Linked DNA regions of Schizosaccharomyces pombe. Changing the gene in region 1 together with any one later gene gives a genetic interaction. Each region holds a gene or a part of one and is shown on either strand. Other genes may lie near its edges. The genes, in order: pkd2, cdc7 and cdc14.

What was found.
Region 2: of pkd2 (region 1) and cdc7, changing one suppresses a phenotype caused by changing the other (phenotypic suppression), as found in Schizosaccharomyces pombe (one study listed by BioGRID).
Region 3: of pkd2 (region 1) and cdc14, changing one suppresses a phenotype caused by changing the other (phenotypic suppression), as found in Schizosaccharomyces pombe (one study listed by BioGRID).

Annotation. Positions count from the first base shown.
Region 1 is NC_003424.3:4,217,697-4,221,453, reverse strand, and holds the start of pkd2 (plasma membrane TRP-like calcium ion channel Pkd2), read right to left. Parts: upstream 1,704-3,757; 5' UTR 1,454-1,703; coding exon 1-1,453. Other genes in the region: ATP-dependent RNA helicase Has1, read left to right, coding at 2,300-3,757. UniProt on the Schizosaccharomyces pombe protein: Acts as a key signaling component in the regulation of cell shape and cell wall synthesis through interaction with GTPase Rho1.
Region 2 is NC_003423.3:3,224,479-3,228,235, reverse strand, and holds the start of cdc7 (serine/threonine protein kinase SIN pathway Cdc7), read left to right. Parts: upstream 1-1,730; 5' UTR 1,731-1,805; coding exon 1,806-1,832; exon of another isoform or gene 1,833-1,884; coding exon 1,885-2,019; exon of another isoform or gene 2,020-2,060; coding exon 2,061-2,090; exon of another isoform or gene 2,091-2,139; coding exon 2,140-2,204; exon of another isoform or gene 2,205-2,251; coding exon 2,252-2,505; intron 2,506-2,555; coding exon 2,556-3,017; intron 3,018-3,057; coding exon 3,058-3,299; intron 3,300-3,367; coding exon 3,368-3,431; intron 3,432-3,468; coding exon 3,469-3,757. Other genes in the region: serine/threonine protein kinase Ppk24, read left to right, coding at 1-882, 965-1,416. UniProt on the Schizosaccharomyces pombe protein: Protein kinase essential for cell division. Plays a key role in initiation of septum formation and cytokinesis.
Region 3 is NC_003423.3:2,330,067-2,333,823, forward strand, and holds the start of cdc14 (SIN component Cdc14), read left to right. Parts: upstream 1-2,059; 5' UTR 2,060-2,203; coding exon 2,204-2,926; 3' UTR 2,927-3,107; coding exon of another isoform or gene 3,108-3,757. Other genes in the region: gpa1 (G-protein alpha subunit), read left to right, coding at 272-1,495; folliculin bhd1, read right to left, coding at 3,108-3,757. UniProt on the Schizosaccharomyces pombe protein: Has a role in the septation initiation network (SIN) required for cytokinesis.

The DNA.
Region 1 (3,757 bases):
CGATGAACATTGAGCGTACCAAGGTTATAAGCAACAGTGGGAAAGTAAAGTAAAAGAAACGGACGTCTAATTGCACGTACATAAAGCCCCAACGCATCAAGTGTTGAGTGTCAGAATATAGGTTGTACAAGACGTCAGGATGGGAATAAGGTCCTGTTTTGCGGATAATTTGAATTGTCCGCACAAATGCATAGCAGAGCAAAACTGCCATGTCCACAATCACGTACATTGATAAAAATGCCAAAGCGGAAGAATCACGAGTATAGATTTCCCACATGGACAAAACACTCATTTGAGTGAATCCGACAAAAATCACACGATAGAAAAATCCTTTGGATATAGATTTCCAATAAAGACGGATACGTTGCTTTTTCAAAGCTTGATTTCTGGATGCAAGGAGCACCATTTCAACAATAAATCTAGAAGCCATAGCAACTAGTAATGAAAAGAACAACAATATAATAAAAAAGGAAAACCCAGTAGCAAAGAAATTCGTCGTTTCAATCCCCATCATATATGAAATACGCTTGATTCCCCTCAGGGTAATAGAATCACTTGTGCTAGTGGTGACAGTAGTAGTTGCACGCTTGGCGAGAGAGCCCAAATCAATACCACGTTTTGCGAGGGCGACATTAGCATGTATACCCAAATCTACAAGAGTAGATGGCGTGCCGCCAGTTGATTTAACGTACCATGTAAAAACATCTTGCATGAAGCCAATCCTGATAATACCCATCGACCACATGAAATTACGGCCCCAACTGTAAATGATAGCAGGAAGAGAAGTAGCCATCATGGAATACAAAGCCTGGATTTGAGCAAACTGAAATAAGGTAATCATCGTTTCAACGATTTCCCAAAGTGCGGGTGTTTGAAGAACAGGGGATATCAGTAAGAAAATTAAAAGTGGGATACCGATTACCATACACATAACCCAGTAAACAGCTCTGTGGTAAACAGAACGACCATTTTGCACTGTAGTACGAACACAAGCTAATTGTGTGTTTGTATCTGATTCATAAATATTAATAGTCACAACAGCATCTAAATCCGGAACTGTGTATGCAATGGAGGGAATACTATCAAGAATAGAAAGAGCCTCTCCGGTTAAAGTATGACTACCAGATAAAGCAATATTTCCAGTCTGCATTGGACAGAAGCCAGAAATTTCCATATCGCAAGGATCTATCACCTTCTTTATTTCGATTCCGTATGCACTAATGTCGACGTCTATACTGACATTCGTAGAAACAAGAGATTGTATCGAGATATCAAAGGCAACAGATTGATTGTCCGGAAAATACGAGGCATAGAGCTTACTTGCTGATAACTGTGAATCAGTCATACATGTGGACAGAGAGTCGGCGGAAATGAATCTGGTTAAAGCATCAGCCCATGAAAATAGCTCGACGACCACAACTAAGAGTAAAAGTGGGCTTCTCCAAAGCCTCATTTTGCAGTTGATGGTAGTGAGAAACAGTTGATTAATGGAAAAACAGGAAGGTGAAGTCAAAAGATGATATTAATGAATAGAAAAGACAGACTGTGAATTCCAATGTAACTGAGTCTCAAATGTAGCTAAAATTCTCCACAACCAGTTATTATTATTCTTAAATTAAGTTAGATTTGAAAACTTATTAATTCCAATTAAATCGAGGGATATATAACAATGGGAATGATTAACAAAAATATAGTTTGCTCTGGGTGGCTGTATTATCATCAAAGATTCTCAACCCGTTCAAGACAAGTGATGACTAGAGACAAATCCCGGTACCTGTTACCTTAGATCACAGCCATTTAACATGGAAAACTACCAGCACACTAACCAGTAAATAACTGGTAATTGAGGATTTAATAGTACGATAGACCTTTCTTTTTTTTTTATAAGATAATTTTTATATTCTACAGTGTCAATTGACGCTTAATCAACTCGTAACGTATTAACAAAAGTCATTTTAGCAAAACTTCTTTCATAAAGAAATTCACCACAGCTACTTTAAAATATCATAATGTAAAACTAAGCCTAATGTGACATAGTACGCAGTATAGATAGCGAAATGTTTATTAAAAGACACTAACTTTAGATTAGGAATTTCAATCGAATTTGAACACTATAATTGTTTAACATTTGAAAGTTGAATGAAAAGAATATCGTTAAATATTGCTATTTACTTTGCTGCATAGATTTGACACGTTGCGTTACGGCGGTATACATTTCGCAGTTTTCCACTTTTCCATTTTTCATACAAGCATTTTGCAAATTCCCAAACTCATTAGTAGTCTGCATTCGTTGTACAAGATGGCTAAATCCGAGTTAAAGCGGAAAAAGCATCAATCGGGTAATGAGGAAGTAAAAGAAAAACGTCAAAAACCTTTAAAAAACGATAAAAAAATTGCTGAAGAACTTCCTCAAGACGAAGACGATTACGAGCAGGAAGAGGAAAATGAAGATGCTGACCAAAATACTTCAGTAGAATCAGAAAGTGAGGAATTAGATAATGAAAATGAAGATGAGCGTGTTCAAAAATCTGTCAACCTGAACGCTTCTTCCACTTCGGATATTGAAAAGTTTTCAGACCTACAACTCTCTGAAAACATCCAAAAGGCAATTAAAGAAATGGGCTTTGAAACGATGACAGAAATTCAAAAGCGCTCTATTCCTCCTCTTTTGGCCGGTCGTGATGTTTTAGGTGCAGCTAAAACTGGTAGTGGTAAAACTTTGGCTTTTCTAATTCCTACCATTGAAATGCTTTATGCATTGAAATTTAAGCCTCGTAATGGTACTGGTGTTATTATTATATCTCCTACTCGTGAATTGGCTCTTCAAATTTTTGGTGTCGCAAAGGAGTTGTTGAAATACCATCACCAAACATTTGGTATCGTCATTGGCGGTGCTAATCGCCGTGCTGAAGCTGATAAATTGGTGAAAGGTGTTAACCTATTAGTTGCTACTCCTGGTCGTTTACTGGATCACTTGCAAAATACCAAAGGATTTGTATTCCGCAATTTACGATCCTTAGTGATTGACGAAGCCGACAGAATTTTGGAGATTGGTTTTGAGGACGAAATGAGACAAATCATGAAAATCCTTCCCTCGGAAAATCGACAAACCCTCCTGTTTTCTGCTACACAGACAACTAAAGTTGAAGATCTTGCTCGTATCTCTCTTAAGCCCGGACCCTTGTATGTTAACGTTGATTCTGGTAAGCCTACCTCTACCGTTGAAGGATTGGAGCAAGGTTATGTTGTAGTTGATTCTGACAAACGGTTTCTTCTTTTATTTTCCTTCTTAAAACGCAATTTGAAGAAAAAAGTTATTGTTTTCATGTCATCTTGTGCTTCTGTCAAATATATGGCAGAATTACTGAACTATATAGATTTACCAGTACTTGATCTTCATGGCAAGCAAAAGCAACAGCGTCGTACAAACACCTTTTTTGAATTCTGCAATGCCGAAAAGGGAATACTACTTTGCACCAATGTTGCTGCACGCGGGTTAGATATTCCAGCCGTTGACTGGATCGTGCAGTACGATCCTCCTGATGACCCCCGAGATTATATTCATCGTGTAGGTCGTACAGCTAGAGGAACAAAGGGAACTGGTAAATCCCTTATGTTCCTCGCTCCTTCTGAGCTCGGTTTCCTTCGTTATTTGAAAACTGCCAAGGTTTCTTTGAATGAGTTTGAATTTCCTGCCAATAAAGTTGCTAATGTTCAATCTCAGCTCGAAAAGCTTGTTTCCAAAAATTATTATTTG
Region 2 (3,757 bases), on another chromosome or scaffold:
CAATTCAAAGGAATTCAGAGAATAAGAATAGTCTTTCGATTGAAAATATTTTTGGGAGATTTCCTAAAGAGTTCTTCCAATTTTTTTCAATAAATGTTTCTAAATCAACAACCAAGAAGTCTTCCGTCGTTATAAAGCCAAGTACAATTACTGCACCATGGTTAGAAAATGAATACTTAGACAGTAATACTAGCTTACTTTCCGTTCATTCAATTCAACCTTCGTTTATTGGAATGTCTGACTTCGCAATTGGATTAGATCCTTCACTGAAGCGTATATTACCCGAAATAAGATTTCGCTTAGACTTTCAGCATCTAAAATCAATAGCTAAAGGGGCCACCTCTACAATCAAGGTTGTAACTCACAGAGATAAAATCACCGACGCAAAGATATACTATGCTGCCAAAGTATATCGGAAAACGAAAACATCGCATAAAAAAAGATTGAATACAATGGTTTATTTTTTAAGGGAATGGTCAATCCAACCAAAATTGGACCATCCTAATATTCTGAAAGTTATCTGCCCTTGTGTGACTTTGACAAGCGTATTTAATAAATCCGCTGGGTTTTGTTTGGTTCAAGAGTACTGTCCTCAAGGCGATTTATTTAAGCAAATTGAAGAAAAAGTTTTGACCTTAGAAGACAAATGTTGTTATCTAAAGCAAATTCTTCAAGCAGTAGCTTACTTGCAATCTCAACGTATTGCGCACCGAGATTTAAAGCCGGAAAACATCTTAATCGGAAGGGATGGATTGTTAAAGCTCACCGATTTTGGTACCAGCGAAATTGTGGGTAATCCTGGTGATAACGAATCCATTCGTTTCGTATCGGGTGCTGTTGGAAGTTTGGCATATCTAGCACCAGAAGCATTTCATGAAAATGGTAAGTCTTATGTGTATAAATTGTGTAGCAAGACGAGCTCTATCCTATTTCAAAAACGACGTACTAATAGTTCAATTGATAGAATATTGTGGTCTTTTAGCAGATAGGTGGTCATGTGGTATTTTGCTTAAAGTTCTGTTTACTGGATACTTTCCATTTAAAACTTCCGTGAAAACTGATCTTTACTACTCAAAGTATATGTCAATCCTTACAGATACTTGTGGTATTTCTTCAACTGATGAATCCAGTTTCCAAACCGAAGTCATTAAACAAATACCTACATTGCAGCCCCTCAGATATATACCTGAAGGTGCTAAGAAGATTATACTAAGTTTACTGAATCCTGATTCCCAGAATCGGCCGTCGTTGGATAGTATTTTAGGTACTGCATGGGTACGGAAACTGGATTGTTGCAGTAACTTCTCTACCGATCATGAAAATAAGAGTTTACAGGAAGTTGATTTTGATGCTTCTAAACCCATTACAAGGAAAAGTTTGATTCCTCGGATTCATAACCATCAGACACTTGTTTAACGTAGTTTAAATCACTGTCTTTTCTACTTTACTTTCCAAGCTAAAATGAACTCATTCTTCCTATGTACATGGTGTTTCCACTGACATTACTTAACCAACGGATTAGTTCCATCCTTGCCAATATTTTTTATATGTCTGTATAATACGCTTTTTCTTTTATACGAGAATCTTTGTTTATTAATGATTTTATAAATAGCTTAATTATTACTATTTACTTCTTTTGAGTTTATAACATGCAAGTTCAGGTACCGTACTAAATGTGTATGTACACTATAAAGTCCTTACTTCTTCAAACGCAGCAAATGCTACATCGTAAACAAAACCAAATTGTCTTTTCATTCAAAATTACAAATAAATTCAATTTTTAATTTGTAACTTATTCAATAGTCATGCACAATATCCAAGCATCTTCCATCGTATGCTAGTATTTAATGTTAATAGCCATTGGATTTTCAATAACATATTCAGACTCTTGGGGATTGCTTGGGCAAGGGTGCCTTCGGTGCAGTATACCGTGGTCTAAATATAAAGAATGGAGAAACGGTGGCTGTAAAAAAAGTTAAACTATCCAAAATGCTAAAATCTGATCTTTCCGTCATTAAGGTATGAAGGGATCTCAACTATTTTTCTCTAACAATTTTTAGATGGAGATTGATTTGCTTAAAAATTTGGACGTATGTTACTCATTCGTTTATAATGGTCGCCAAATACTAAACGTGGTAGCATCCAAATATTGTTAAATATAGGGGATCTTATCAGACGAACGATTCTCTATGCATTATTCTGGAGTACGTGATTTTCTTTAAAAAATTGTTTTCAAGTTAACGATATATAGATATTGCGAAAACGGATCGTTGCGCTCAATTTGTAAAAACTTTGGAAAGATTCCAGAAAACCTAGTGGCCTTATATACGTTTCAAGTATTACAAGGGCTACTTTATCTACATAATCAGGGTGTTATCCATCGTGATATTAAGGGTGCCAATATACTTACTACTAAAGATGGCACTATCAAGTTAGCAGATTTCGGGGTTGCGACGAAAATTAATGCTTTAGAGGATCATAGTGTTGTTGGAAGCCCCTATTGGAGTAAGCCTTTTCTAAGCGTATAGTTATAACATTACTAACAATTTATATAGTGGCTCCCGAGGTTATAGAGCTTGTAGGCGCCACAACAGCCTCAGATATTTGGAGTGTTGGCTGCACAGTTATTGAACTGTTAGATGGAAATCCTCCCTATTATGATTTAGATCCTACGTCCGCTCTTTTTCGGATGGTGAAAGATGAACATCCTCCCTTGCCTTCAAATATTTCTTCGGCTGCTAAAAGTTTTTTAATGCAATGTTTCCAAAAGGACCCAAATTTACGAATTAAGACCAGAAAACTTCTTAAACATCCTTGGGTGATAATGAACCAAACCTCCTCTAAATTTTCTGACGCTATAGACGAGGTTCAAAAATATAATGAAAGAGTGAAAGAAAGCACTTTGACAGCTATTATCGAGCCTACTTCCAACAGAATCAATCCGACTCTTCATTCTGGCAGGCAGTCTTCTTATCACATGCCTGAGTCTCCAAAAACACCAATTGCCGAGTCCCCAGGTAGCTTTATGATACTTTTTAACTACTCTAACATTTTTAGATCATGATAACTGGGACAATGAATTTCAAGGAACCCTTAAAATCAGTGACGATGTTTTAAAGAAATCTGAGCATTTTATGGATTTTTGCAGTAACTTTAAAGGAAAAAATAATTCCAGCTCCATAACATCATCCCCTTCGAAGTCTCGCCATGCTTTTAATTCAGATCAAATCTCTGAATCAAACAACTTTAATGCATCACCGTTGAGTACTCCTCTCAAAGCCCAATTTGATCCCTCTAAGGTAAATAATGCAGCTCGATTTTCTAGAGCTTTTAATGATTTTAAATAAATAATTAACCTTTTTTTTAGCCCGCTCTCAACCGGTCAATAGATCATCAAAAAACTCCGCAACATAAAAGATACTTGTCAACTGGTAAGTATCTGATACTAACATATAACTAATTATCTAGAGTTTAAAGAGAATATACCAGACGGAATTGAAAAATTTGTCGAGACACCCAGAGATAGTGAATTTACTGATATTTTCCCTACATCCTCAATCAAAGTTCAAGGATTGAGAAAGGAGACTGGACTGGGGACTTTGGTTTTAAACAAATGTTATGGCTCGTGGAATAATGAAGAAAATGAGGATGGGGAAGAATCGGATATCTTTGACTCTATTGAAACAAACTTAGAAAACTTGGATATTGAAAACAACATTGCTTTAGATAAGAGAACGCATCTAGCTTCCTTACTTTC
Region 3 (3,757 bases), on another chromosome or scaffold:
AATTGTTTAAATAATAGTTTCTTTTTACTATATAATAGTATTCTTTTGGATCTCTTGGAATTATCTGGCAATTGGGTTTTTTGCTTATAGTTGGGTCCACTTCACAAATATTTGAGATTTAACGACATCTATTATTTCTTTTTTAATCCAAAAATCCTTATTTATCACCTTTTCTGCTGTTTTTACAGAAAATTGCGGAGATTAACTTTCTTTGTCTCGACTTTGAATTATCTCCTTGTGGGGATTTGGAATCTGTAGCTGCCTTTTCACCATGGGATGCATGTCGAGTAAATACGCTGATACATCAGGAGGAGAAGTCATTCAAAAGAAGCTTTCAGATACGCAAACCTCAAACAGCTCTACAACTGGAAGTCAAAACGCTCGAGTTCCAGTCCTTGAAAACTGGCTTAATATCGTCCTGCGTGGAAAACCACAAAATGTGGAAAGTTCTGGAGTACGCGTAAAAGGAAATTCTACTTCAGGTGGAAATGACATTAAAGTTTTGCTCTTAGGCGCCGGTGATAGTGGGAAAACGACCATTATGAAGCAGATGAGATTATTGTATAGCCCCGGTTTTAGTCAAGTAGTTAGAAAGCAGTATCGAGTGATGATTTTTGAAAATATCATCTCCTCTCTATGTCTTCTTCTTGAAGCTATGGATAATAGTAATGTCTCTTTACTTCCGGAAAATGAGAAGTATCGGGCAGTTATCCTAAGAAAACACACTTCTCAACCCAATGAGCCATTTTCTCCAGAAATATATGAAGCTGTTCATGCCTTGACATTGGATACCAAACTTCGTACGGTGCAAAGTTGTGGTACCAACCTCTCTTTGTTAGACAATTTTTATTACTATCAAGATCACATTGATCGAATTTTTGACCCACAATATATACCTTCTGATCAAGATATCCTTCACTGTCGTATCAAGACGACCGGTATATCAGAAGAAACATTTCTGTTAAATCGTCATCATTACCGATTTTTTGATGTAGGAGGACAGAGATCAGAGCGCAGAAAATGGATTCATTGCTTTGAAAATGTCACTGCATTGTTGTTTCTCGTTTCTTTGGCAGGTTACGATCAATGCCTTGTAGAGGACAATTCAGGAAATCAGATGCAGGAGGCGTTATTATTATGGGATTCCATATGTAACTCTAGCTGGTTTTCAGAATCAGCAATGATACTTTTTCTAAATAAACTTGATTTATTTAAAAGAAAGGTTCACATTTCCCCCATCCAGAAGCATTTTCCTGATTACCAAGAAGTTGGTTCAACACCAACATTCGTACAAACTCAATGCCCTCTTGCCGACAACGCAGTTCGAAGCGGTATGTATTACTTTTACTTAAAGTTTGAAAGTCTTAATCGCATCGCTTCTCGTAGTTGCTATTGCCATTTTACCACAGCTACAGACACTAGTTTGCTCCAAAGGGTAATGGTATCCGTTCAAGATACGATTATGTCCAACAATCTACAGTCACTTATGTTTTAGATGAATTTTTCCTTAACTATCTTCATAATCTTTTCTGTCTCATTTCTCTACTTTCATTCGCACTCTAGGAAAAGCCTCTATACTTTTCCGTGAATGGTGTCTCTAGTTAATTTCCTTGCATTTTGTATGCACTTCATGTGTTATTTCTCCATCGAAACTGTTAATTAGTGCATTCTAATTGTTTTATTTCATAGCTTCTTCGAAGCTTCGTGTAATCTTATATTGTTTTAAATAGCTCAAAATTAACTGCAGTTTTTGTTATTTGATAATTTTACGATTAATACATAACTATTGTTTAATTTAATATCTAAATTTTTTCATGTCAACCGTTTGAGACAAACTAAACCCATTGATATTAATATAATTAAATTAGGCGGATTTGATCGTAAACTAAATATAAATCTATAAGGACTCGATGTTGCTTGTTTTGTTATTTTAGGCCCCTTTTTCAAATATGGCTCCAATTCGCCTGTTAATATTCAATTGTATCCTATCTTAGCAAGCTGGTGTTTTCTCTCCCAAAACCTCAAGTTTTAGAAAATAGCAATTTAATGTAGCTGCTTCAACACTCCACCCTACTATTTATATCATTACTAAGAACGAATATAGAGTCTCTTTTTTATCTTTAACTAAACGAAGATTCAATTTACTTTTATTTATAATAAGGATTTTTATTGCCCGCTTGGCATGAGTAAATAATGATCCGGTATGGAAGATCTATTAAACAATGCTAAACAGCATTTGTGTATGAGGAATCCAAAGCTAATTCGAATTGGTTTGCGTCAAGTCGAATCTATTGTATATCATGTTGCGAAACCTAGTCATGATGATAAAATTCCAAGAGAAATTTTCCTAAAATTACAGGATTCACCATTGTATAATTCTACTACCCCTTGCATTTACGCTTTGGACAGTCTCCTTGAATATCAGCAGAATGAAGAGGCATACGAAAAAAACTTTCAATTCATTCAAAAGCTAATTGATGACTTACTGCATGTGATTGAAGGATTGGTTTTAATCCATCCAAAATCACAGACGTTATTTGAAGATAAAGCTACCTTAAGGTTATTTATTCATTTATTACAGCCATCTCAGCCATCTATGTTGCAAGTGGCTGCAATGAAAACGCTTGTATGTATCATGGCAGATCGTCCACTGGCTATTAGGCTTTTTGAGCAGATTAATGGCTTGCAGCAGATATGCGTAGTTTTTAAGCACAAACAAACAAGTCAGGACACCCGATTTCAAATTCTCGAATTTTTCTATTTCTATTTATCCCCTGAACCATATTCTATAGATGTCATTGCCTACAGGAAAACGCGGACTGAGAAACAAGCTTACCTATCCAAATATCTTTCTAACGTACAAGGGCTTCGAGATGATTTAGATAAGTTTCAACCATTTGGCAAGTTAGACGAAACATTCGACTAGTTAGATGCAATGCCTGGTGCAAAAAAATGTTTAAAGTCTCATTGTTAACTTATTTTTGAAAATTTAGTATTCATTTACTAAAGAATTTCTAATGTTAATGTTAAATTATTAATCGATCATCTTACTATTGAAAGTATTCCAGCATCCTATAGCATTTGTAAAAAGTCAACCAGTTTTACTTTCATACTACTAAGAGATCCCAAACCTCCAGAATCCAGCTAAACGAACTGTGAAGACCGACAAAGATTCCGTCCCAACATGTGATATCAACTAAACTGCGTCCCTCCCCAATATCGTCTCGACGACGCAAAAAACTGAAAGAAGGAAGTCTTTGTGTGTGGGCCAAAGATGACACATTTGCACCGATACTAGAGGATATCTCATACGAAGGAGCAGTTCCTATATTTGAAGAACCCGATAACGAAGAAATGTTAAAACTGGGGGATGCAAACGTTCCATTGCTAGAGGAGGCTGTTGTTTTTGAACGGGAGGAGGAGTAGTCATTCTTTGTATTGAAAGAAGAAATCCTTAGAAACTGGACTATATGAAGAAACTTTTCAGAAATAAAACTATATCGCAAAATCAAATCTAACTGATTTGGACAAGTAGCAATAATCGCATATCTTCGAAGTCCTCCCCGGGCAGAGGGATCTCTTAAAGAAAAAGACTGACTAATAACGTAACCGTTATCTTGGTCTCCAAAGAACAAAGGATTTGACATAGAATCGGAAGCTTCAGATAGTGTTGAATATTCACAGCTCAAGCAGCGAACCATTAATCGCTTAAGGGTAGAATATCGTTGCTGAGTATGTGGATGTTGACTAGACATGT